Nothobranchius furzeri: one gene and its partner. The protein of the gene in region 2 interacts with the protein of the main gene of each other region in a biochemical or structural test. Links are inferred from orthologs where the notes say so. Each region holds a gene or a part of one and is shown on either strand. Other genes may lie near its edges. The genes, in order: skap1 and fyb1b.

Region 1 (12,490 bases), on a different chromosome or scaffold from region 2:
AAATACGTCCAAATCCCCCCTTCAAGCCGCTCTCTTCTTGCCAGGTCGAGTGAGTGAGTGTGTGAGAGAGAGTGTACAAGATTAATAGTGTAAACAGCGAGGGAGAGAGGAAAAGAAAGGCAGCCAGGAGAGAGGCAGAAAGAAAAGACTATCAGCATCTGCAGCAGCACAGTAGCCCTGGGGGAATAGGGTGAACTTTTGAACCCTGCTGGCGAGCAGTCGCAGCAATCCACAGATCCAGCGCCTGCCTCGTAATGTGCGAGCGACTTTCTAAAAAAGCACACAGATAGCAGCCCAAGTCAGGGAGGGAAGGAGAACGAAGGAGAGAGTGGAAGTCATTAACATATTCCTCGCTTGCCTGCAAACGAGCAGCCGCTATCCAAATGTCACAAGATCCATACACCAATGAGCACGGCGAGGAATGAATCTCCAGGCAGAAATTGTGACAATCACGCGCGATAAACGACTACCAGCAGGTGGAAGGAAACTTTGCAATTTATGAGCGTCCCGTGACAGTCGGGACAATCCTTCACACATCTCTGAACAGACTGCAGATGGGTCACAGGTTGACCAAACAAAAGGTCAAATGTCAAAAATTCAGTAAGTGGGCACGAGCAAGAAAATAATAAAATAATAATTATCTCAAAAAAACAGACACAAAAACGTGGTTGGAAGTGAAATCAGAAAGGAGGTGAACTTTCTCCTCCTCCACAATCAGACTTCAAACACAAACAGCAGTTGGCAAATTAAACACTGGAGATTAAACCTCTAATAGAGTTTTAGTTTGTCAGCTGGCGTACTTTGTTGGTTTTTTTCTCTCTCCCAGCATTACCAGCCAACGGGCCCAGGCGCACACACACACGCCACCTTAAACACATGCCACCTTAAATGGCTTTTCCAAGCTTTAGCCAAAATGACAGAATTTAGATTTAATATTCTATTTACAGGCACTGTGTAATAATGTTGTTACTGTGCATTGGCCCCTCATATTCAAATGAGGAATAGGCAACAGTGAGACATAACTTCAAATTGGTTGTCCAACTGCATACTGACGCCAGTAATTGGTTTAGGAAATTGGACCAGCAAAGCCATCGCTGACAGGAGTCCCATTCTTGGCTGGTACACGTGGACAAACGTTCCTTTGGAGCTGAAAGTATTACTTTATTAATCAACCAGTCCACAGAGAGAAAACGAAATCTTAAATATTTAAGTGAATGTGAATAATTGGCTTCTAGTTCTAGCATTTGTCCTGAAAGAACAGGATTTTCTTTGTCCAATTTCTCCAACGTTAACCTTGAAACTTTTGAAAATTTGCATCCTGATTGGACAGTTTGTGTTTCCATGCACGTTAAAGAAATATACATTTTTTTAAATTACACAAAATAAATCTGCAAACATTAACATAAATAGCTAAAAGTGTTGCAGACCTTTAATAAATGTGTAAACTAAATGTTTAGGGTTTAAACAGCAATCTAATTCAGATTATTTTTAGCTCAAAAGGGCCTGAAAACAAGAGTTTTAAGATCATTTATTTTTAAACAGCCACACCTGAGTAATACAAATAAATGGTGCATCACACTCAAGGCACTTGTATCATATCAAAACCATCTTTTTTTTTTCCTGCATGACTCCTGGAACAAAGCTCCTCCTGCAGTGCTCTGTCACCGCTGCAGCAGCAAACATCCGCGAGCGCCCAGCAGAGCTCCCCAATCAAAGAAAAACAAACAGGCCATTTCAACTTCGTACACTTGACCTGCAAACAGCATGACGGGGCTAAAAGCCCCACATCTCCAGCTGTCTCCCGGGGTCTATTTGTGTCTGCGTGAGGGCGAGCACGTGCGTTGTAGAGCGTTTTCACGCCAGAGGGAGAAATTTGTGCCTGTATTTGTTTATGTATGCATAATGTACTGGAATGATGGTGGAATGGAAATTCCTTAAAATGGGAGCTAGTCCCCACAGAGCGGCTGCTACGAGCGAGGCAGAGGGAGTTGGGGTGTATGAGGCTACAGGCGCGGTCAGGTCACCGGTGCGGTCGGCGGGTGAAACTCAGTTCACATTACCATGCAGACACCCTGGCTAACAAAGGAGGCTCCATCTGTTCCTTTCAGCCATTACAAATATGGTGTCACCCAGCCCGCCGAAGACAACAGGCCACCGCATCTAATCAAACGGCGCAGGCTCCTCCTGCGAGTAAAAGCAGCCATCGACTTCACACTCACTCACTCACTGGTTAGAGAAGGCAGTGCAGCGAAGGCAGGCGGTCGATTACCACGGCTCATACATTCTCCAAGTCACAAAGTCTCTATTGTGTACAGTAGACTCACATAAAGAGAGACGCAATCAAACATCAAAGACAATACATTTTCTACTCTGTTCTTTTTCCAACAAACCTCTCAATCACGAAATAAATTTTCAAAATAAGATTTCTGCCATAAAAAGGTTTTTTAAATATTAAAGAACCCCCAGATTGTGTCGTGGATAGCTGCTCCTCCAAAAAATGTCTCTGATTTCATTAAGAACTGAAGCCATTATTTTCCACTGACACCCCCCCCCCATCCTCTGAAACAGATCCGCCCAGCAGAAACATGCGAGTCGTTTCTTTCAGCTGGCAGTGAACACTGGATGAACTCTGAACTCAACATGCCCTTTTAGTCAGGACAGACCTGTCGCTACGCCGACAAAGCTGCAGACACAAAACAGCCTCAGTGCTGCAAGGTGTTTCCTCCCATCAAATGTTTTGATTATTTATCAAACAATAACATCAATCTGGTTGTTTATCGTTTAAAAAAATAATCATTAAAAGGAAAACTTAAGAAAAAAATATATGTTACAGTTTGTGCAGCTAATTTGGATTTTCGCGTGTGTGTGTGTGTGTGTGTGTGTGTGTGTGTGTGTGTGTGTGTGTGTGTGTGTGTGTGTGTGTGTGTGTGTGTGTGTGTGTGTGTGTGTGTGTGTGTGCACGCGTTAAAAACAATCACTTCCACAGCGACACCATTTACCAGTGTTATCCATAAGCCTTAAGGGGACATTTTAAGCGTTTTATGGTTCGATTTTGAATGTTTCCCAAAGGAAATCTCTTCTTATTCACACTGAAATAAAAAAAAAAATCAAATAATTGTCTTCTGTAACTGTGGTCTATTCTCACACCATCTGCTTTGATGTTTTTTTTTTTGAACTAGTAGAAACAAGCAGCAGTGTTTTTTTCTGAGAGCAGAGATGAAGCTCATTAAGCCACTTCTATGCTTGACTTTTTCCAGCTGGCATTAACCGTCAGTATCCTAAAAAGACTGAAAATATTCCCTTTTTTGTAGTGAGAAATTCCAACTTGCGTCCTGCTTTATCTCATGAGAACAGCTACAGAAACAGCAGAGATGGGCACCTGAGGCTGCACAGTCCATAACGCCCACCTGCGGCATGTCACGTCAAGGGCTATTAGAGTCAGAAATACTAAAAGTCTGAATGGGAGGGAGGCAAAAAGAGGAAGATAGAAAGAAAGAATGATAAAGGGAGAGAGGAATGGAACACACATGGCCCCTCAGGTACAGTGTTGTATTTCAAACCCAGTTGCGAAAGAATAGAGGAGCTCAGGGTCAATAAATCATTGCATTAGCCTGCAGCTACAAAGCCTCCTCTCTCCTCTCTGTGTGGGCTTCCTCCTCTCCTCCCACCATCCACACACGTCCCTCAGAGATCAGAAACCTGCTGGCGAATCTGCCACTGGAGGGAGCTATAGGTCACCATTCAGGTCTCTGAGACCCACCAGCAGCATATTTCCAGCACCAAGGTACCTGAAAGTCCAGGAGGGAAGAGGAGGAGGAGCCGCTGATGTCACCGGACAGGGAGGTAGGAGGCCAGCAGGGAGGTAAAATTCACAGATGTGATCTGTTGTTTTTTTTTTATATTTAATTAGAGGGTGTGCTACAATATAACAAAAGGATCCACCTGCTCTTCCTGTGGTGAGGCGAAGCTTTGTGAATGTGCTAAAACTGTAGTTTTCTCAGAGGAGTTTGGCATTGCCTTCTGTGGCGCTGACGCCTCCTCTTCATCATTTCCTTTGTTAATACAGAACTTAGCCTTTCAGTGTAAACGCGTGTTCCTAATATTTTCCAGGATGTCGTTACCGAGGCTTACATTTATTCTGCTGGACTGTGGTTTGCTGCTAGAATTGTATGTTATTGGGGAGTAATAAAAAGCCATTGCTACACAGCAATTAGACCATTTTGAGCTCAGATCTCTGCATTGTGCAAAAATTCTGCAATTACAGACATGTAGAAATCACAGAGCGGGATCCAAAACAGGATTGTTGATAACTTACACTCAGGGACTTCATCCTGGTAGTCTGATGTGTCAGAGTGAGCAGAACGACCCAGACTGGAGCTGCGGTTATCATCAGAACCGTCGTCTTCTCTGAGATCCACTGAGTTTTTATTCAAGTGTGTGAAATAAAAACATAAAGAAGGGACAATGAGTTGGTACATAGGCACCAGTACATGATACTTTTTGATATTTACTCACATCGTGAGGCAAAGTCATGAGGAAATCTAGAAAAGTGAAACACAAAAAAGGTAAATCGTTTGCACCGACCTGAAGCGTTTTCTTTGCTTTCTTTTTTTTTTTTTGCTACAAGATTGCTTCTAAAATGTAATAATTGTTTCCTGCACAAAGAGCCACAAAACCACAGGTTTTCTGTAACACAGCTCATGTCGGCATACATGTTTTGCAGGCACCACAACATCCGGACAGAGCAAGCAGACTACAGGCAAGAGTTTCACTTTCTGGTTTCAAATACAGTTCTTTAAATCACCTTAAAATGCATGATTAGAGTAAAACAAGAGTTTTCCAGAAGATCTTTTAAAAATGTTAAAGTTTATTTCAGCCATGTAGAGGTCTGCTTCTGTGTAGAAATTGGATCTGTAGATGGGTTCTTAAACTGAATCAGTTCAGAGAAAAGGCTTACACACCTCAGGTCTAATGAGCTAATAGCTAGCCTAGATCTAAATGATGATAAATGATAAATGACCCGCACTTGTATAGCGCCTCTCAGGGTAAGGACTCCAAAGTGCTTTACACTACAGTGTATCATTCATCCATTCACACACTCATTCACACACTGATGGTGATGATGAGCTACGATGTAGCCACAGCTGCCCTGGGGCGCTCTGACAGAGGCTGCCGAGCACAGGTGCCATCAGTCCCTCCGACCACCACCAGCAGGCAAGATGGGTTAAGTGTCTTGCCCAAGGACACAACAGCAGAATTCTCTGTCCAGAGCCAGGATTGAACCTGCAACCTTCCGATTACTGGACAACCCCCTCATCCTGTTGAGCTACTGCTGTCCCAAGGTTAGCGCTAAGGTTAGCGCTAATCTATGAAACAACCCAATCTTCTAAATTCACTGCTGTTTTAGTAGCATTTCCTAAACCATCAACTTCACATTACGTGTTTACATGGAATTATAATTTACGAGCCTAGATATGAGCAGCAGCAATAAAATGTAGTGCCTCTGGAGTGTGCAGGGGTCAGCTGCTGCATGGATTTCCAATAGCTGTGTAACGTGACACTGGCAGGTATGTAAGGTTTATAAAAAACACCATGAAAAATTCCTTAAATAATAATAAAAAATAAAAGCAAGAAGGAAGTCTTTAAATTGGGGCCATTAGATGAAATGAGCTCTTTCTAAAGCAAATTACACACCGTATGTAAAGCAATTACAGTTAAGGTTTTTTCTTTTGTGTTAATAACAAAATGTTTAATGAGGAGGCTGTAAGGTTACATCGTCACACTTCAGCAGTAAAGAGTCTGTAGATTCAAGATTAAAAAACCTACTTTCTAAAAATGACCCAGAAGTTGCTCAGGAGGACTTTCCGTGTCTCTTGAGAGTTTTCACTCAGTTCTTCCTCTTGAAGGATGTCTGATATGAATAATTCACAATCTAAAAACAAAAATATGAATAAGTGTTAGATTTTAGTGGAAACAGTTCATAATCAGAAGCTACAGAGGAATAACACAACTGCATACATTGCCTTCACACAACTACCTTTCATGCTTTGTGTTTGTTACAATTGACATTTTGAATGACGGTTTACAGTTTTATACATAAAATTACGTTATTTTATACTTAAACCAACAAAAATGTCCAAATAATTTAATTAAAAAGAAAGCAGCCATCCTAATGTGTTTGTTCTTTCTGTCAGGATGATTAAATTCTTCATTTTTGCCTGCTACGTTCACTGCTGCACAACTTTCCCAAACATAAACAGCTACATTTTTCTATGACTTGAACAATAGGTGAGAAAACTGGAACCAACAAAAAGGAAGAACATTTTATTTCAAGATCCTACTGAACTAAAACCACAAATAAATGTGATAATGAAAAAAATAAACAGGTTGGTCCACATCACTTATCCGATTCAGTTTCTTTATGTTCCCTTATTACACAAATAAACCGACACACGCAAACAGGTTTGTTTTTTTCCAGTGGTTCGGCAGCACATGCAAATGTGATCAAATGATAAGGTGCCACAACGAAGGAAACCATTTGACTGTACATGACGTCTGAAATGAGGAGGTGGGATATAAAACTTTATATGTTCCAGAGTTTACTTCTGTAAACCAGACAATTATTTTAGAAAGTCACTCTACTTTCCCTTCAATGTCAGTGTAGAAATGTTTTATAATAGTCATTTGACTGAGACAGTTCTGCCTCATCATATTGTATATAAAAAGCTCTTTTGCTTTAAATAATAACATTTTAAAGTGAAACTTGGTAGTTTTGATGAAAGATTGAGTATAAAACAAAGATGTTACCATCCAAGAGCCTCTTGACTTCTTTCGGGATGGCACCCATTCTTGGCTTTCACCTGCTCAACAATAAGTCGGAACAGCCTTTTCTGCTCACTTAAATCTTGATAAAAAAATTTTACCCTCAAACAGCTTTAATGCATCCAGACTCTGCTACAGCTCCATGACAGGAAAGAAAGCCTGGCACACACTAAAAAAATCTACAGGCAGGCAGGCAAACCATCCAACCCCTTACAACTGAAACTTTACTTCCGCTCTAGATTTGCAATTGGGGTGGAGCAGATGCACAGATGACAACTTCCTCTGCAGTCTGGTTTCTTATTTGAAACACACCAAAGCCTGGCTCACACCTCTGACTCACAATGCTGCAAAGCTGCTCAGTGTGCTAAATGTGTATGGGTGCTTTCATGTTCAAATCAAACGATAAAATCTATTTCTACAATGAGCCCTGCTGTTGTGTTATGTACAGGAAGTCATCGAAACCACCCTCTAAAAACGGTTCTCTAAAAGGAAGTATATGTTGTTCCATAAAAAGCACGGGTTATCCACACAGACGACACAGATGTTGGTAGGTGATAAGACAGATGATCGTTCTTGCATGGAAGAAATCAGCATTCACTTGGCAATGATGTGTGTTCACTGAAGATTGCTTTCAAAATGTGTGAACCCATTTCAGAAATGTGTGTTTTAATGCAGTACTACTGATGGGCCTGAGGATCTCTATATGTTGTCTTTTGGCCTCATACAGAGATCACTGCAGATTCCCCAAAAACTGTGGTAATGTTCATTTGTATTGTTGATTAAACCACCTAATTAAATATAACACCTCAGTGGAACACCTTTATATTACAGTCTATTCGCTAACCATTTGCCAATAATTTTCAACTTTGAAGTTTAACCACAAACTTGACATTTTTTTCCTTTTTGGATTTAGTTTATTAAGAAAGAACCAATTCACAACACAGGTCATCTCAAAGCATTTAGCAACAAATCCAAAGCCCATCGAGGCTAGATACAGGTGAGTTGACTGTTGCAAATGCAATAAATTTGTAATAAAATTAGATTACTATAGAATGTCAGTTTGTCATGTTAGCTTTATATAATGAAACCATCACAATGTAATGATGAAGCAGAACAATATGCACTTATCATTTTACCACATGTGTAAATGAAAAGCAAACCAGAAACTTTCAACTATATTTTGCAGTTTGGCATTTCTATCGAAAAATTATTTATATTTTCAGCAAAAAATTAATTAGGAGGAAAATGTGTTTGTAGCTAGCTAGTTAGCATAAGCTAGCATGGTTAAACCGGAAATTAACCTTGGCACCGTCATACTCGTGATAAAGGTCACTGTGTAAATGTATTAAAAATCTAATTTGTCTTAGCCTTCGATTAATAAGGAACGATTTGGACTTAAAACTTGGACTTGAACACAATTATCTTACCTCATAAAGTTTGGTCAGAGGCTAACTTGACGGGCTAGCTAAGTGTGTTTTTGCGATGTCAGTCTAGCAGGAGGAAGATGCATTCAAGTACCCTCAGCAAACATTTTGATGCAGTTGTTGTAATTGTAAATCAGGCTTTACAGAGTTTTTGCTTGAACATTATGAATTTAAGTTAACCAATAAAGCTTTGCAATACACTGTCTCTTATCAACATGCCGACCAATAAGGTGAAAAACAACAATTATTGTTTGTTTGTTTTATTTTACTGTACATGTCAGATTTGTGAAGTGGCTTCTTTCAAGTACATGTAAGCACAAATAAACAGGGTAATGCTGTACTTCAATGTTGATAAACATGCAGTCTAATAATTCTTTCTTGTGTTTAAAGATAAATACATGTCTGGATGGTTTTAGCAGCCAATAAACAACTACACTTAATTTAAGATGCAACGACTGAATTTTAAATCAAATAAACAATGTTGTCTTCAGCACATCTCGTTGAAATGTGTTTCAGAAATTCTCACTTTACTGTTTAAATCTCCCATAAATGTTCAGGATAAGCAGAAAAAACTAACAAGAATATTTCAGCCGGCACATGAATTCAGCGCCACTAAATTGGTCCCTCACTACATCTGACAGGGTGTGGATGGATGGTTCAGATTACCAGTAGAGAGTGAACAGCAATGGATTGAACTGGACTGGGCTTTTACACACACAATTGACCCTTGCAGAAGAGACAGTGGCAGCAGATGCAGCACATAAAGAAATACTGGTGGCTCCTGCTATTGTCTTATTGATCCTGTATTACTGAAACACAGGAAAGGAAAGCAATTGAGTAACTAAATCTCAATCTGCTGATGTGGACAATATTTATCAAGCTTTGTTAGACCGTTGCAATTTTTGGTGGTTGTTGCTCTAAAATGCATTAATAATGTATTTTGTTTTAAATTAAAGGTTGTCGAAAGACACAAGCAGCTGAAATGTTTCACAAATAATTTATTGTCTTAAATTTTGTAGAAGTAGTGCTCGTTTTGCATTTTGTATGGTAGTCAGTGGCAGTTTTACCATTAGGCATAGGTCAGCAGCCGCCTGGGACCCCCTTATGTTGGGGGGGCTCCTAGCCCTGACCGCCAGCACCCCAGTTTATGCCACAATGGACTATTCCTTTAAGATGCCGATGCACAAACAGGAAGCGATTGGTAGTCATTCCACTCCAATCCAGTTGGTGGCAGTAATGCACCAAATTGTCATGTGCCAAGTGCCATGAGACCACAAATAAGAAGAAGAGAAAGAAGAGAGGCGGGAGCATTCGTAACAAACTTGAAGCGGTAGTCAAAACATTAAGCATGAAATGGAATTATCCTAGTAGCTCCAATAAGAGAAAGAAGCAGCTTGCTTTAAAAACACTTTTATCCTCACTTCCAAAAGTTACATCGTTTTTCAATGTAAACATCAAAAGGAAGCAGAAAAGGAAAGACAATAGAAAATGTTTAAAGGGAGGAAAACATAGACCAAAATTAAAAATAAATTAAAAAAGGCTAAAGCACAGGAGCACTGACTGGAAGAAGAAAGCAGAGCAAATATTGAAAGCACTCAAAGGGAGGGAAAGACAGGCAAAAAGAGGAGGACTAATAAAAAGGGAAAATAACTCATGGCAGAAGAGGGGAGAGTTTCGTAAATCCAGTTAAAAGTAAGATTGCCGAAATTTAGTTTAAGGGGGCCCCATGTCTGTGTTTGCCTTGGGCCCCCAAATTGCTAAATCCACCACTGACGGTAGTAGGACTACTCAACTTTCTGAATTTTTTTTTTCATTGTTGTTGTTTTGTTTTACTTTTAATGATTTTTAAGGTAGGAAGCTGTCACTTGAAGGCCTCCTTCCTTGTCACCTCCCAACAGGAATCCACAGGGTCAGGCTGAGTTGAGTCCCACATCAGGATTGTCCCCACGCTGACCTGTGCCTGACTGGCCTCCCAGCTAAAAGCCCCTGTGAAGGTAAGAGGAACTGGGGTCCCATCCCCTGGAAAAGAGGTCCCCTCCCCTTGACAGCTCCACAGACCCCCAGCCACCTGCCTGCTGAGACAGCCCCCCCATGTGGAAAGGGAGGCTCTTTGTAATCCGACGGGGATTACACCACCCAACAATGCACCTCTGAAAGAGCGACAAAAGCCCTGTATCAAACGCCACTGAGGGGGAGCAAGGCTGTGATCTACCACTACTACCAACACTGACTCCTCATTCTCCTCTCATCTCCCCAAGAGGCTCTCCCCCCTTGAAGCATTTGCTACCTCTGTCCTCCTCCTGCCCTCTCATCTCCAGGATCTGGCCTTTTATCAGCACATTCCTTTTTATTTGCATTGCAGTGTGGGGAAGGACGGCAGGTCTCTCTGATCTGATAGCATCAGGAGAGAGTCAGGAGGTTCCTCAGGGCACAGTGTGTGTGTGTGCATCCTGTCCTGCAAACAGGCACACACTGCATTCTCCAGATAGGCCGTGAGGTTTGCACATTTTAAAGGGACAAATAAAGCATGCATGTCTTTAAACCTGTATTTGACTTCATCTAAAAAAAAGAAACTTTGTTGGATAAACTTTAATTCAATCTCATTATTTGTGAAACCTTTTGCAAACATCTCAAGTTGTTGCTCAAATCTGATCCCAATTTAAATATGTTTAAAAAAGGGTGTTTGGTCTGACTCTTAAGCTGCAAATGTTTGTGCTGCTCGAGGAGATAAAAAGAGGCAGTTTACTTTTCGGATTTCCTCTGAATCATTGTATTCCCAAACCACCCATTGCTCAAACATATGTGAGTGCAGGAAGGAGGGGCGGGTGCTTCGGTGGTGACAGTATAGAAAAGCGATGAAAGACTGAGGAGGCGAAACGACAGAGGAGCAAATCTGAACGCACAACCTTCAGTCTGCCTCAAAGAGTTACCTCAGCTCAGATCAATGTTAGCCCTGAAAGCACCGAATGGAAAATCATTCAAATTGTATTATGTTAGAATATATGAGCCATTTCAAAATATTAATTCAGCATTATTTGAGGTGTCTGTTAAGGACAGAAGTTCCAGCAGTGACTGAGTGATTAGGTGCCTCAATTACATGTGATGTATGAATGTGTGAGAGGGGCCTATTTTTCACTGTCCCTGGAGGGAGAGAGGACTGTGAATTATTCCCCAGGAACAACTGGCCTTGTAATAATCCGAGAAGAGAGGAAAAGGGAAGCCAAGCACTATCGGTATTGAGAGACTGGGAAAATGCCAGAGGAATGCGTCTACATCTTGCCTGTGATCCTGCTGCCTCTACCCCTGTCCAGTTAATTGGAATACAAAGCAGAGCGGGGTCGATGAGAGAGCGGTGGTGGTATGAAGGAGAAGAGGAGGAGGAGGAGGAGGTGTAGCTGCTGTCTGTCTCCAGCAACCTTCACCGCTCGCTGGAAATTGACTGGGGAACCAGCAAGCGAGACCGACACACTGTCACTGGTAAAATGAACTGTCACCTTGCATTTCTCAACCTCCTGGCAGCATCGAATTGGTCGCTTTGAACCATGTGACGTGACACTGATTGAGTTCTGGTTTCCCCTCCTGGGCTCCAAAGGAAGGAGCTGGTTTCATTTCAGCTTCTCCGTGCAGAGTATCCCTTTTCCTCACCCCAAACATTACAGGAGAGCACCATTCCTTCTCACCACCCCTCATTATTTCATTGTGCCGCTTCGTTAGCGGCTCCTCAGCTGCTCTTGTTTTTATTTTTTGTAATGGTGTGCACTCATAGTGGTCTGACAGGTGCACAGAGGAGGAAAACTATTGGGGCTAGCCATTTGGATCCTGGAGGCAATCCCGGGGAGTATTAACCCTCTGATGCATGAATTATGAAATCTTCAACCATGATTTTTTAAACAATTTTTTTCATTCATCTTTAGGTGTAAATTAAACAAATTTCAACAAATATTTTTTGTAACATTTTGTTAATTTACAAATAATTTATTACATATCCACCTTGGTGGACAGCGTGCATTCTGACCATGAAATATTTTGGCTTGACTTACTGAAGTCCAAATGGAGGGGCTCACATGCAATAAAGTCTTCAACAGCTGTGCTTATAGCAAAAATAAATAAATAACAATTTTGAGTACCTGTCCACTGTAGTGACCATTATGCATCAAAGGGTTAAGACGTTAACCCTGGCCAAGTCACTTGTCTCTCTCAGTTACTATGCTGATGGAGTGGGGAAAAGATCCAGTCGCAAGGGA
Region 2 (12,490 bases):
TGAAACATTCAAGTCAAACAAAACAATCTAAAAATCTTTTTAAGGTGGTATTATTTTCACATAACTTCATGCTTTGTGTGCTCTTTTAACCCTTCAGGTATTCGCCACTTTGCCATGTTAAAATTGACTGGAAATGGAGAAAAAGCATCAGGGACTGTCGAGTTACTCCCAATAAATGGTACGTAACCCTTTTACAGAACTGTGCAAGTGCACAAGTCAATATTGCTACCCAAAATAGAGATATTTTTCACAATATTGTGACTAAAAATTATACAATAATTTCATAATCATAAGCTGTGGCAAACTTTTGTTTCTTCATCAGCTTTCACTGTGTGTCATTTCCTTTTCCAGGTCGTAGTCAGAGTGAGGTAGAGCCATTATCACGCGACATGGTGAACAACCTGAGAGAACAGCTCAAAATCAGTAAGGACTACTTCAGTTTGGTGGTTGTGGGAAAAGACGGTGATGTCAAGGCATGGTTCCCATCCCCCCTGTGGTCCCTGGATAACATCTATGACCTGGTGGACTCTATGGAGCTTCGCGTCCAGGAGGCAAAGCTCCAGAAGAGACTAGGGATCAGCTGCCCTGAGACTGGAGGAGGAAGAGGTGGAGGCAGCGAAGAAGGGCGCTATCCTGGATATGACGAAGAAGAGGCAGAAAAGATGTACATGTAGTGGAAAGAAATAAGTAAACCATACAGGAACAACTGAAATAAACACGTGTGACTCAGAGGAAAGAGTTTATTAAAACAACATAAGTAGAGTTGATGCCACAACTAGAAGGATGGATATTCTCTAAATTAGCAAGAAATAGAAAAATCAGCTCTAAATAGTGAAACACTTCCCCACATATGTACATGAAAAAAATTTATAATTGTCAAATAAACAAATGATCCTGCCTTTAACTGTTTTTAATTTAGAAGAGAAAATTTCACATGAATTCTCCCCAAAACAAACAAAAATAAACCTTCACAATTCTTCAGAGTTGCTGAAATGTTTAGAGCGGCAGGCCAGACATAGTTAGAGTTAGACACTTGTTGGAAATTTTAAAGTATGGTTCACTTGTTAAATTATTACATTAGCAGTGGTCTCAAGGAATGAATGTCTTGTAAGTCGTACTCTGAGGTAAAAAAGGCCAGATGGACTTGTTTCGGGACCTAGCAGAATGCCACATCAGAGGAGAGCAGAACACAGCAAGACTTGGAGTCTTTCCCAATATTTGGACATCTTGACTCTGATTGGCTAACAGCAACATGACTCTACCACTGACTCAGTTTTTTTTTGCAACGTTGATGTTTTATCTCCACAAATAACACAAGCCTTGAGAAGTTCTGCTGTGTGGTAGAATTGCTTTTGCTAATGGTTAGCTTCTACTAGCCGAAATGTTGTGTCTGCTGTTGCCTGGATGCTAAACCAACAACAGCCTTCCCCATCTTGAGTCAAGATGGGTGAGTCCATGAATGTTAACTGACAATGTGACAAAGATCTGTCAGGATTTTTTGAACCAAGTGTTTTTCTGTCTATTTTCTATCAGAAGCTAATGCAGCAGATAGGTGTAGGATACTGTTATGTTCAGCCTGCATAAAAAACTCAGAATGGCTGATTATAATCAGAAATAATATTTAAAAATGTTTTTTTCAGTGACCCATACCGTTAAAATAGTGAAACACGTCCTCACATATGTTAATGAAAATATCTTATCTTTAATTGTCAAATAAAGAAATTATCTTCTCTTTTGTTATTTTTATTTAAAGGAGAAAATCTCACATAAATGTTCTCTCTAAAAAAAACATCCTCAGTTTTTCATAGATTACTGCTGAAATATTTAGAGTGGCAGGCTAATCAGACATTAGAGTTAGGAATTGGGTGAAAATTAATTTTGGTAACACTTAACAATAAGGATCTCTTTATTAAAGTGACTTAGGTCATTGCTAAGCAATAATAAACTATTTAATAAAGTATTAAGAACTGCTTATGAAATGCATTACTAAGTAGACACCCCGTCCTTAAGGACACCTAATAGTTAAAATAATGGTTATGTTAATAAAGGGACCATTAATGTAAAGTTCATATGTGTGTGTGTGTGTGTGTATGTATATATATATATATATACATATATATATATATATATATATATATATATATATATATATATATATGGTCTTTCAAACTGGAACAGCTGCAGAATGTAAAACCTTTGTAGTTATTTTGAATAATAAGGAACATAATATATATATATATATATATATATATATATATATATATATATATATATATATATATATACATACATATATATATACAGTATATATATATACACACCATTTAGCTGTCATATATTTAAAAATGTCAAATTTCAAGTTGAAAGGAATATTTAGATTTGGCGATGATGAGAAAGATTAGTGAAAAAGGGCAAGTTTGTGAACTGGAAACACAGGATTTGATAGTAAACAGATACAAATATTACACACTGGGCCTTTAAGGTAACACAATGAGATTTAACCTTCTGCTTGCTGGAGCAACTCCAGAGACTGTGCTGGCCTCTATGTTATAGTCAGAATGCTGGCTGGGTATTTATTTTTACATATTCATAAAGTCAACATTTGAAGCTTCAGCAGTTATTATTTACAGTCTCAAAATGTGAGGAATTTCCATAACCTGTAGACTGCACTTAACTGGGTCCAGTTTCATCATAGAACAAGAAGCATGTGGTTAAATCTCATTAGAATAGATCATCTTAAAAAGTTAATTTAAGGTCACCTAGGCTGTGTTTGTTGCATAAGGTGGTTTGAGTTTAAAGACAATCATCTTCTTATGCTGACAAATTGTATGTGAGTTTTCTGTGGAAAGCAAGAATGCTTCCAAGTGATCATGAAGTTTTTGTTAGAGAATGAAAATCTTACTTGTTTACAATAAATACGTGTTAATCTGACCAGCCCTCCACACAACAAAATGTACTTTATTTGCCTCTAGTTTAACTGATTCTGTGAAGAATGTGAAAAGTGGGATCTGGAAAGTTTTGAAGCCAGTTCACAAAGGAGGCTCTAAGCTGAGCAAAAGCAAGACTGAGGTAACAAAAAATAAGTCAAAAACCTGAATTTAGAACAGCACACAAAGACAAATCTCTGACCCGATCGTCCAACGGAGTACAACTCGAAGTGTGTCAAACATGTGAAGTGAACAAGACCTTGATCGCAATCTAGCAGAGATGAAAGGAAACTGTTCTGAAGTGGAAACCCAACAACAAACAGGTAAGTGGAGATGAACAAAGACAGAAGTAAAACTAATTCAAAGTAAACAGGAAGAGTATTGGCCACTAAATAAATCAGGAAGTTTGAAAGGTCAGAACGCATGGCAACAAATTAGGGCCGCACTAACAGAACAGTAGCCTGGCAAGCCGTCCTCTAGTCTGGCCACGACCCATTCAACCCACCCAGTGGTGGGGCAAAATCTATGGTTGCCTGTCAAACAGTCTCTGCACAAAACTGGACAGCGCTATGACAAATCAGAGCAACAAACAATGTGGCATACTCATGGTAGACCTGCTGAAGCTACGATTGAGCGTGGCTAGGCCGACCTGCTGAGCTAAATCTTTTGCTACCGCAATGCTTGGTCTAGATTTCTAGGCAGATTTCTAAACACTATAAAAACTAGGAATAAAATGCGGCTGCAGTTTGCGACTTAAATTTAAATGACAAAAGACAATAAACCAAAACTAACAGCATTCAAAATAGTCCAGGATTCAAATTACAAAGAACTCCCGTCACAGAAGGATGGATTACCAAAATAAATAGCTATCAACTACTTGTGTGTAAATTTGCATCATGTTGCGCCTCCAAAAGACTCCTGGTCCCACCGAGAGAATCCTATTGCACACCACAGCCTTCTCTTTCTCACAGGCAAAAAACATCCATGTTTATATTTCTGATGTAAAACAGCAACCTGTGTTAGAAATAAAAAGGATTATTTAAACATTGAGGAAGAAAGTCTGAAAGCAACAAAGAACGAGTAGAACAAATCATCTTTGACCGCTATGTTGAACCAAATTCTGTCTATGTTTAGCAATAATGTTTTTGTTATTGTTATAATTTTGTATTATCGTTTTTTTTACTTTTGCATTATTATTTTCTCACCTCGTGCACTGGACAGGAAGTGGTCAGACTGCTGCACAGCTGCAGGTAACTGGTAACTTTGTTCTGTGACATTTATGGCCAGACTGTATGATACTGTCTTCTAAAGAGACAGATTTTCTCTCATGTGACATTCTGGATGGAAAAACATGTCATACAATAGGATTCAATGGAACAGTCGATGGTGTTGTTGCTTTTTTTTAAAAATGTGCCAAAGGGTGGCCTGCAGGGAGTTTGCAGCAGATAGGCAAATCCATAAGATCTAACCCAAGAGATAACAGAGGCAGCCTCACACCACACACACACACACACACACACACACACACACACACACACACACACACACACACACACACAAAGACACTCATTACTTAGAGAGGAAGTGTTCAGTTATAGACAAATGCTTATGTCACAACCAGAGCAGCTGAAGTCCCCCCAAACACACACACACACACACACTCACACTCACATCCACACCCTGAGTCAGATGCTTGGTGTCTCTCTCTCTCTGAACTTCAGTGCCGCTCTCACTCGGCCAGCAGCAGAAACTCACACTGAGACTCAGAACAAACACAATTCACCACTCGGTCCTCGGATCGCTCCACTCTGAGAGGACTGTTGCTGCAGAGATGGTGAGTACAACTTCATAACTGGTTACAACTTTAATTCAGTCACCTTCGTGATCCATGCATCTCTTTAAAGGGGATTTGATAAATTGCCAGTTCATCAGAAATAAGTTTTTCTTTGCGAGACTGTTGGGAAGTCTTATTGTTGTGCAAACTAGCGTTGTTTTGTTTGATTGGTTGTTTGAGTGATTTGATGAACAATTTCTAAGTTATTCTTATTAAAATCCCATCTTATCATGATTTTCTTGTACATTTGTTTATATGTAGACTTTAAAAAGGTTATGTCATGATGAAATCATCTAAAGTCACAGCTTTTATTAGCAGGGCATCTTGTCCTTCACCTTTTCTCTCTTATTTTTGAGCAAAGGTGTTTCAGTGAGCTTTCTCAGCATTTTATTCGACTTTAACTGTAATTAGACCTAAAAATGTTCTGTTTGCAAAAATAAATAAATAAAGATGATCTAATAATTCAGGTATTCCTAACCATGACAGCTGTGTCTTTAGAAGCTCTTGCACTAGTGCATGCTGGGAGGGAATTCCAGTATGTGACAAAATTTAGGGCTTTACAAAATTGCAACTGCTGTGCAGCTGCAAGAATTTTGTACAGAATATTAAGCAATTTTGTTACCTCTCCGTGACTGAGAAACAGAAGTACTAAGAGGAAACTTTCCTCTCTGTGTGCATTCTTCTTTTTTCATAAATATTTTTAGTCACATCTGAGGGCTGGTGTTGAAACACTTCAGCTCTGTGGGATGTTACTGGCAGTGACACTGACGTGATATTCCCCTATAAATACTTTTAGCTGGTAACACAATCTCCTAAGATAAACTTTCTCTGAGACCACAAAGGTGACTGAGATAAAGGCGTCAAAGCTAATCTAACTACTCATCCAATACAGAAGGTTTCAAATGAGTGAGTCATATAGTAAACCGGCTCTTCTACAGCTTACAAATGATCAGTTGAATGTTAACAGATAAATAACCTGTATTAAATGTGTTCTTTATAGTATTAAAGTTTATTACACACCAGATTGTGTACGAGGAATCATCAAAGATGGTTTCTACATTACGATAGTTGGAATTTTTTTCATTTTTGAGATTAGGTTTGAGAAGGCCATTCAGGAAATCAAGTAAAATACCACAGTCTCAGTAAAGCCCCAAAATAAGGTTTCTAATTTAAATAACATTGAGCAGTTTTCTGCTCCTCTGCCCTACTGTTTGAAAGGGAATTACAACGGTCGTAAACAACCCTGCTGTAGTTAGTGCTAACAACGAGCTAACGCTAACATGAGCCAACTAATACTAAAATAAACCACAAAGTAAAAGAATTCACATTGTTGGACAAAAAATATTATTACTTACAAGTCCAGCAGCAACAAAGCCAGGTCACTATCAGTCCATGATTTTGTAGCCTCCTTTAGCTCCCTCAAGGTCGTGCCGATATTCACTCTGGTTTTAGCTCTTTGCTTCGCCTCCAAAGACATTGCTGTCTTACTTTTAGGCCCAGGCTCCACCTGTCAACAGAAAAAGCAAACATTTTCTTTTTCTTCTTCTTGTGCTTTTTATCGGTGATTAGCAAACTCAAAATGCTAACCACTAGCATTACAGCTAACAGCCACAAAGCAGGTAAAAAAAAACTTCCCTCAGGACATCTACCTGCTCCACAAAACTATTACATGTAGTTTTTGGTCTGCAGAGCACTGCAGAGTGGTGTCAAACATAAAACCAGTCAAATTTCTAACACAACAATCACTGAGATCAATGTTAAAGTTCTAGTTTAAAAAGTTTTTGTTACTTTGGTATTTTCCATCACCTTTGAGTACAGCAAAATGTTATTGAATGAAAACATTCAAAAAATTTAAATGCCACTTGAACACCAATATTCATACTGACTTTAAAAGCTAATTACTTTAAATGCCATTAGTTTCCTGTTCACCGTTACACTTCACCCCCTGCTGTGTATTTTAGTCCTCCTCTCTTTTTACTGCTGTGGAGCAGGAACAGGAGAAACTGAGCTTTTATCTCCACTTCCTGGTGAAGTTTCTGCCCCAGCCAAACCAGCCTTTAGAATAGGTGCGGCTGCTGCTTTGTCTGTCTGTTTGGAAGCTGTTGCCAGCTTGAAAACATCCTGATAGGTCAGTGACCTTGTTCATATGACAAACTGTCATTTGAACAGTCAATTCTGAAGAGCTCCATGGCCTTTTTGGTTCAGTCCTACAGTCAGTGTAAACGTTAACCTGTTTTCTGTGTCGCTGAGAGGGTCTGCTTGAACTTAAGATAGAAATGTGTTTGATAGTCAACCCTCCTCCAGCACTGCAAATATTTAGTTTTGGCACATTTAGCTAATTTGCAACATTATGTGGCTAACTGCACTGACCCAGGCAAACCAGGAAGTTGGTGCAAACTGTAGTTTGAGAAGTAGATGTTATTTTTTCCTTGTGTAACTGTAACAACCTGCAATAAAGAAGAAAAACATTATATATCATCTGGTTGACTTAAAATGTCCTTCTGTTTGATGTCCTTTGTGACCAGATAAAAAGCAAAAACATATCTTTTGTCATACTTTTCAGCAGAGCGTCTTCTCTGTCATGTATGCTTTAAAACATTTTAAAAGCACTGATTAACTGCACACTAGAACCCATGGTTACTGATGTTTGTGAGTCTGTGTATGAGAATAATGTTTAAACGATGCATAAAATTATTGCATGTTTACATACGTTGCATAACTAGTGACATCATCACGAAAATGTTATAAATGCCAGTGTTACTAAACTCTATGACTAGTTTTGGTTCTTATTTGCACATAATGCATCAGAATCTTCCAGTCCACACTCACTAAACACTTTATTAGAAACACCTTCCTAGTACAAGGTTGGACCTCCTTTTTCTTCTTTTCACTGCTTTAATTTTTCATGTCAGATTCAACAAGATGTTGTAAACATTCCTGAGGTTCTGGTCCATGTTGGCATGATAACATTTCACAGTTCCATCCATGATGAGAATCTCTCTCTTTGAGAGGTGCTATATAAAATATCTTCTACTTCTTCTTCTTCTTCTTCTTCTTCTTCTTCTTCTAAAAGTTCGACTGGACAGAGATCTGCAGATTGTGGAGGTCATTAGGGTCGAGTGAACTCATCGTCATGTTCTAGAAACCTGCTATGATCTGAGCTTTGTAGCATGGTGCATTATCCTGCTGGAAGTAGCCATCAGAAGATGGGTTCATGTGATCATAAAGGGATGGACCTGTGAACTCAACAAAGCATTTTCATCCACACAGCTGCTGATCCTGATTCTTTTCAAATCATCTCTAAGAGACATTTTAGAGTCTCAAATTAAACTGAACACACATGTTTTGGATGTGGAGAGCACCCACTCACACATGAGGAGAACATGCTAACTCCCCTGCAAAAAGGCTGTTGCCAGGCTTTGAACCTGCAACCTTCTAACTGGGAAGCAAAGTTTCTTCTTCATTCTACTGATCAGTTTGACTTTCAGCAAGTCATCTCCAACAGCTCTAGGTGCTGGCAGCATTGCCTTACTCCCTTGTGATTGGCTGATTAGCTGTTTGTGTTTAAAAGCAACAGAACAGACGTGACAAAGAGTCTGGCGAGGGTAGCGTACAGATGTTGATTGACTGTTTGTGTTTCTGTGTCTTGACCCTGTTGACAGCTGAACATTTTCAAACTCAAACATGTGGTTTGAACTGTTTGAGTCACAAACAGACACGAGCAGCTGCTTTGAACATTTTGAGTGATCTAGAGAGGCAGGAAAAAAACTGATTGTTAAAAAGATTTCTAATAAAAAATGCATGAAAAAACAGCTTGAAAGCAGTAAAAACTATAGCGTGAGAGGAAATATGCTAATGTTTGAGTGTTTCAACTTTCTGTTCCTATTTTGTTGTTATTTGAAGTGTCTGAACATCTTTTTTGTGTTCATTCCCATTTTCCCTTGCCCTTCAGTTTTGCTTTCTTTTTGTCTTAAGATCAAGCCAAGACCAGTTTTAGTTTTCCTCTGATTTACTGTTTGTGACATTTTAAACTATTTTGAATCAGTCTTCCTCTGATTGTTTTTTTTCTCTCTCAATCTTATAGGATAGCAAAGCTGATGTAAAGGCAATGAGGGCTCGTTTCCAAGCGGGTGGGGCGAGCACTGAAGACACTTCCTCTACATCTCTTGGACGCCCAAAACAACCCGTGCAATCCACTCTCTCTGGTCCAACCGCCCAGCGTAAGCCTGTTTCAGGGAGCCTATCAGGGGGTTTACCTCCCAAACCATCTACTTTGAAAGCCACACCATCCAGTAAAAATGACACAGACATCACTGAACCAAACAAAATTAAAGCCATGGCTAACAGGTTTGGCCCCTCCCAAGATGAGTCCTTGTCCCCCAACAAAGCTGTTATTACTAATAAACTGCAGTCAACCTTGAAGCCAACTTTTCCCCAAACTCCTGATGCCAAAGGCTATGCACAGAAATCTCCTCTGAACAAACCCAGTTCTGAAATCAAACCCGTGCTCCCAAAGCCTCCAGGGGTACCAACATCCAAGCCCAGTTGGATGAAAGAGGACACCAATGGGGTTACAGCCTCAAACACCACCACCAACCAGCCCATATTACCAAACTTGCAACAAAAACCAATCAGCAACGTCCGAAAAATGTGGCAGCAGAGTGAAGACCAGGGAGATGCAAACGCAGAGACAGCGAACAAACCTCCGCCTCAAGTAAATGTTTCTTCTAAGCCGACCTCGAACTTCAAATCTGCTCAGAATATGTTCAACAAGGAGAAAGACATGTCTGAGTCGACAGAGAGCAGCATGGCCAGCAAACGGCCCTTTGCTGCTAGCAGCACTTTCCCTCCTCCTGCTCCTCCGGCCAGTAAAAAGCCAAGCATTAAAAAGCCAACGAAGTTTCCTCCTCAGGCCAATGGGACAAACGACGAGGCTGGACCAAAGCGTAACCCACTCCCTAACAGCTTAGCGTTGGGTCCCGCTCCTGCTAAACCAAACCGTCCTCCCAAAGTAGAACTGGAGCACTTTAAACACGGTGCCGAGGCCTCTGAGAATGGTAAGTAAGATAGAAATGTTTTTTTTTCTTCTTGTGAGCACAAAACAAACAAGGCAAAAACCCTTGAGCACAGAAGTTATTAATTGCCAGCCCCTAAAAGGGTAAAGTCACACTTTCGTGTTCCTCAAAAACACGGGATAGACACAAATAACCTACCTTATCAACTTCTTGCAGCATGCTTCAAACTGCATGTCGAATTCTTAGAGTAACATAATGTAACCAATTCATGCAGACTTTGTGTTCTTCAGGGTTATGCTGGATTGTTTAAACAACTTAAGTTTTCATTAACATCTTAGAAATTCTGCTTTTTTCTTCATAATGTGCAATGTAAAACAAATGAATGCCAAGCACCTATGGTATAAAGTGAAGAGGCTGAGTCGTTTGGCTTTTTATTGCAGTTGTCATGTTGGGTGGCAATTTCTTGACTCACAACATGCAGAATCAATTCTCGGAAACAGGTAAGTGAAAAAAAGGTTTTATTTTAAAACGAGAAACTAAGAGGAGTAACAGGGAACAGAAGAAGCTCTGCGGTGGTCGCAGGATTCCAGGGCAAGATTCTGAGGAGGGAAACAAGAGTGAATATCCGGTGGGAATAATTGGAGAATTTGTAGTTAGGCGGGAGCTTACTCTTTTCCGGCAGAGACAAAATGTATGGGGAGGGGTTGGTCTGGCCCGGGTGAGCTGCGGAGATCCAGAAGGCGATGAAAAACTGTTCATCCAGAGATGAGGTAGGAGCGGAGGTTGGTGAGGGCAGGTGAGCAGCTGAGAGCGGGCGGCCAGGGGAGGAGACAGCGTGATCTGGGTTGCAGGAGTCCGAGCTGGTTATGGAGATGGTGGAGTGTGGAGCGAAACCGGAGAGGAGCAGGGAAGAGTAGTCAGGGCTTTTCTGGCGGCAGATTTTCCAGCAAAATTCACAGGATCTAGTAAGTACACGGGAACTAGCAAAAACACAGGATCGAGACAGGTTAGAGGCTAGAGCTACCCAAACAGAGTAATCATCCGGCGTGGTGTAGTGTCACACTGCTTCTTAAATCCCCTGGGCCTTGATGACAGGATCAGCTGCAGCTGGTAGCTCTCAGACACGCCCACCTGCAGACAAGGCTCGGAGAAAAACAGGGTTACAGACAGGCAGCTCACCATGGACCATGACAGCAGTATTTAGAATTAAGCCAAACAACCCAGACAAAAATAAATGCTGCACTTTCAATAAACAAATCAGAACATTAGCGTTTAGGTTGTTAATCCTAGGACCGATGCCATCGTTTGCAGCTCCTGTTTTTTTTTTAGCAACCATTAAACAAACACATTAGTAGACAGCAATTAGTAAACTCAGACTTTCGTTTTACATTAGATAGAATAGAATAGAATAGAATAGAATAGAATAGCTTACTGATGAAACACGGGGGAAACTCACTTGTTACAGCACTTAGAGAATAATTTGAAGATAAATAACAAAGGTACATGTATGTACACATGGGCAGTAAACTAGTATTGTAACCTTCAACCACTAAAAACCATGAATAAAAACAAAAAACGTGGGTTCCAGAACTATGTAGCATACTGTAAGGGACACAGACATACTATGTAAATCCGGTATTGCACAGGTATTCAGCGTGTACTGAGTATTGCATTGATGTTATTGTGTAACAGGATAATGCCAGTACCAGTTAAACTGAGGAGCTGAACATTCTTGCTGCAGAGGGGATGAATGACCTACGGTAGTGTTCTTTTTAAATCTGGGATGTCTCAGTCTGCCTCTGAAGGAGCTGTCCATGGTCTCCACAGTGGAATGCAGAGGGTGGGAGTTTTTTTTTTAGGTCATCTTCCCTGGCATCCTCCTTTCACACGTCTCCTCAACTGAATCTAGTGGACAGGCCAGAACGGAGCTAGCTTTCTGAACTAACTTGTTTAGTCTCTTCCTGTCTCAGTCAGAGCTGCCTGCATCACAAAGACATCACAACAAACCAAATAAACAAGTATTATTTTACAAGAGTGGGGATAAGATTAAGTCATCTTTCAGAAACAAACTTCTCAAGCTTCTCAGTAAGATAAAAGCTACCATGGAAAATTTGGCTAACAAATTTGCTATAAACATTTTCATGCCTCTTAACAATGTTCTAGCACAGTATAGCTATACATTTATTGTGGAGATTAAAAAAATAATAAATTAATAAAGCTGTTCTCTTGCATTTGTCTAAAAAACCTTTGCCAATAACATGTTTCGAAACAAAAGTAATCATTGGATCATCTAGTTGTTGGGCTTGCCATACTTCCACACTTTCCTGGGTCCTCCATTCATTACGCACACATGTATTTAACAACAGAACACCACTGGTGTGAGGGGTTCGCCGCTCAATGAAATCAGAAAAGGAGAAATAGATCAGTGTTTCTTCTGATCTGATCACTGTTGGTCATTCTAGCTTGTACTGCATGTCTAGCTTGTCCAGTGGCTCTCAACGAGGAGTCAGTCAGGTTTCAGTTAAACACTTTTCACTAAAAAAGACTAAATACCAACAGGAAAATATTGCAGCTCTGTTGTTTATTCAACAGATGCATGAGCATTAAGCTGTGTCTCAGTAAAGATGACTAATGAAACTTTAGATACATCTATGGTTTATTGCAATGAGTAAATGTTATAATAAAAATGTAATCAAACAAACAAAAATTTTCTT

What was found.
Region 1: the proteins of fyb1b (region 2) and skap1 form a complex in vitro, tested with the Homo sapiens proteins (2 studies listed by BioGRID and IntAct, with this or other methods). The link is inferred for Nothobranchius furzeri from reciprocal best matches to the Homo sapiens genes FYB1 and SKAP1.

What each region holds. Positions count from the first base shown.
Region 1 is NC_091756.1:50,181,409-50,193,898, forward strand, and holds the start of skap1 (src kinase-associated phosphoprotein 1), read right to left. Parts: upstream 7,004-12,490; 5' UTR 6,848-7,003; coding exon 6,808-6,847; intron 5,933-6,807; coding exon 5,827-5,932; intron 4,542-5,826; coding exon 4,516-4,541; intron 4,418-4,515; coding exon 4,316-4,417; intron 1-4,315. UniProt on the Homo sapiens protein: Positively regulates T-cell receptor signaling by enhancing the MAP kinase pathway. Required for optimal conjugation between T-cells and antigen-presenting cells by promoting the clustering of integrin ITGAL on the surface of T-cells.
Region 2 is NC_091746.1:50,403,271-50,415,760, reverse strand, and holds the start of fyb1b (FYN-binding protein 1), read left to right. Parts: upstream 1-4,568; 5' UTR 4,569-4,758; coding exon 4,759-4,761; intron 4,762-8,845; coding exon 8,846-9,818; intron 9,819-12,490. UniProt on the Homo sapiens protein: Acts as an adapter protein of the FYN and LCP2 signaling cascades in T-cells. May play a role in linking T-cell signaling to remodeling of the actin cytoskeleton. Modulates the expression of IL2. Involved in platelet activation.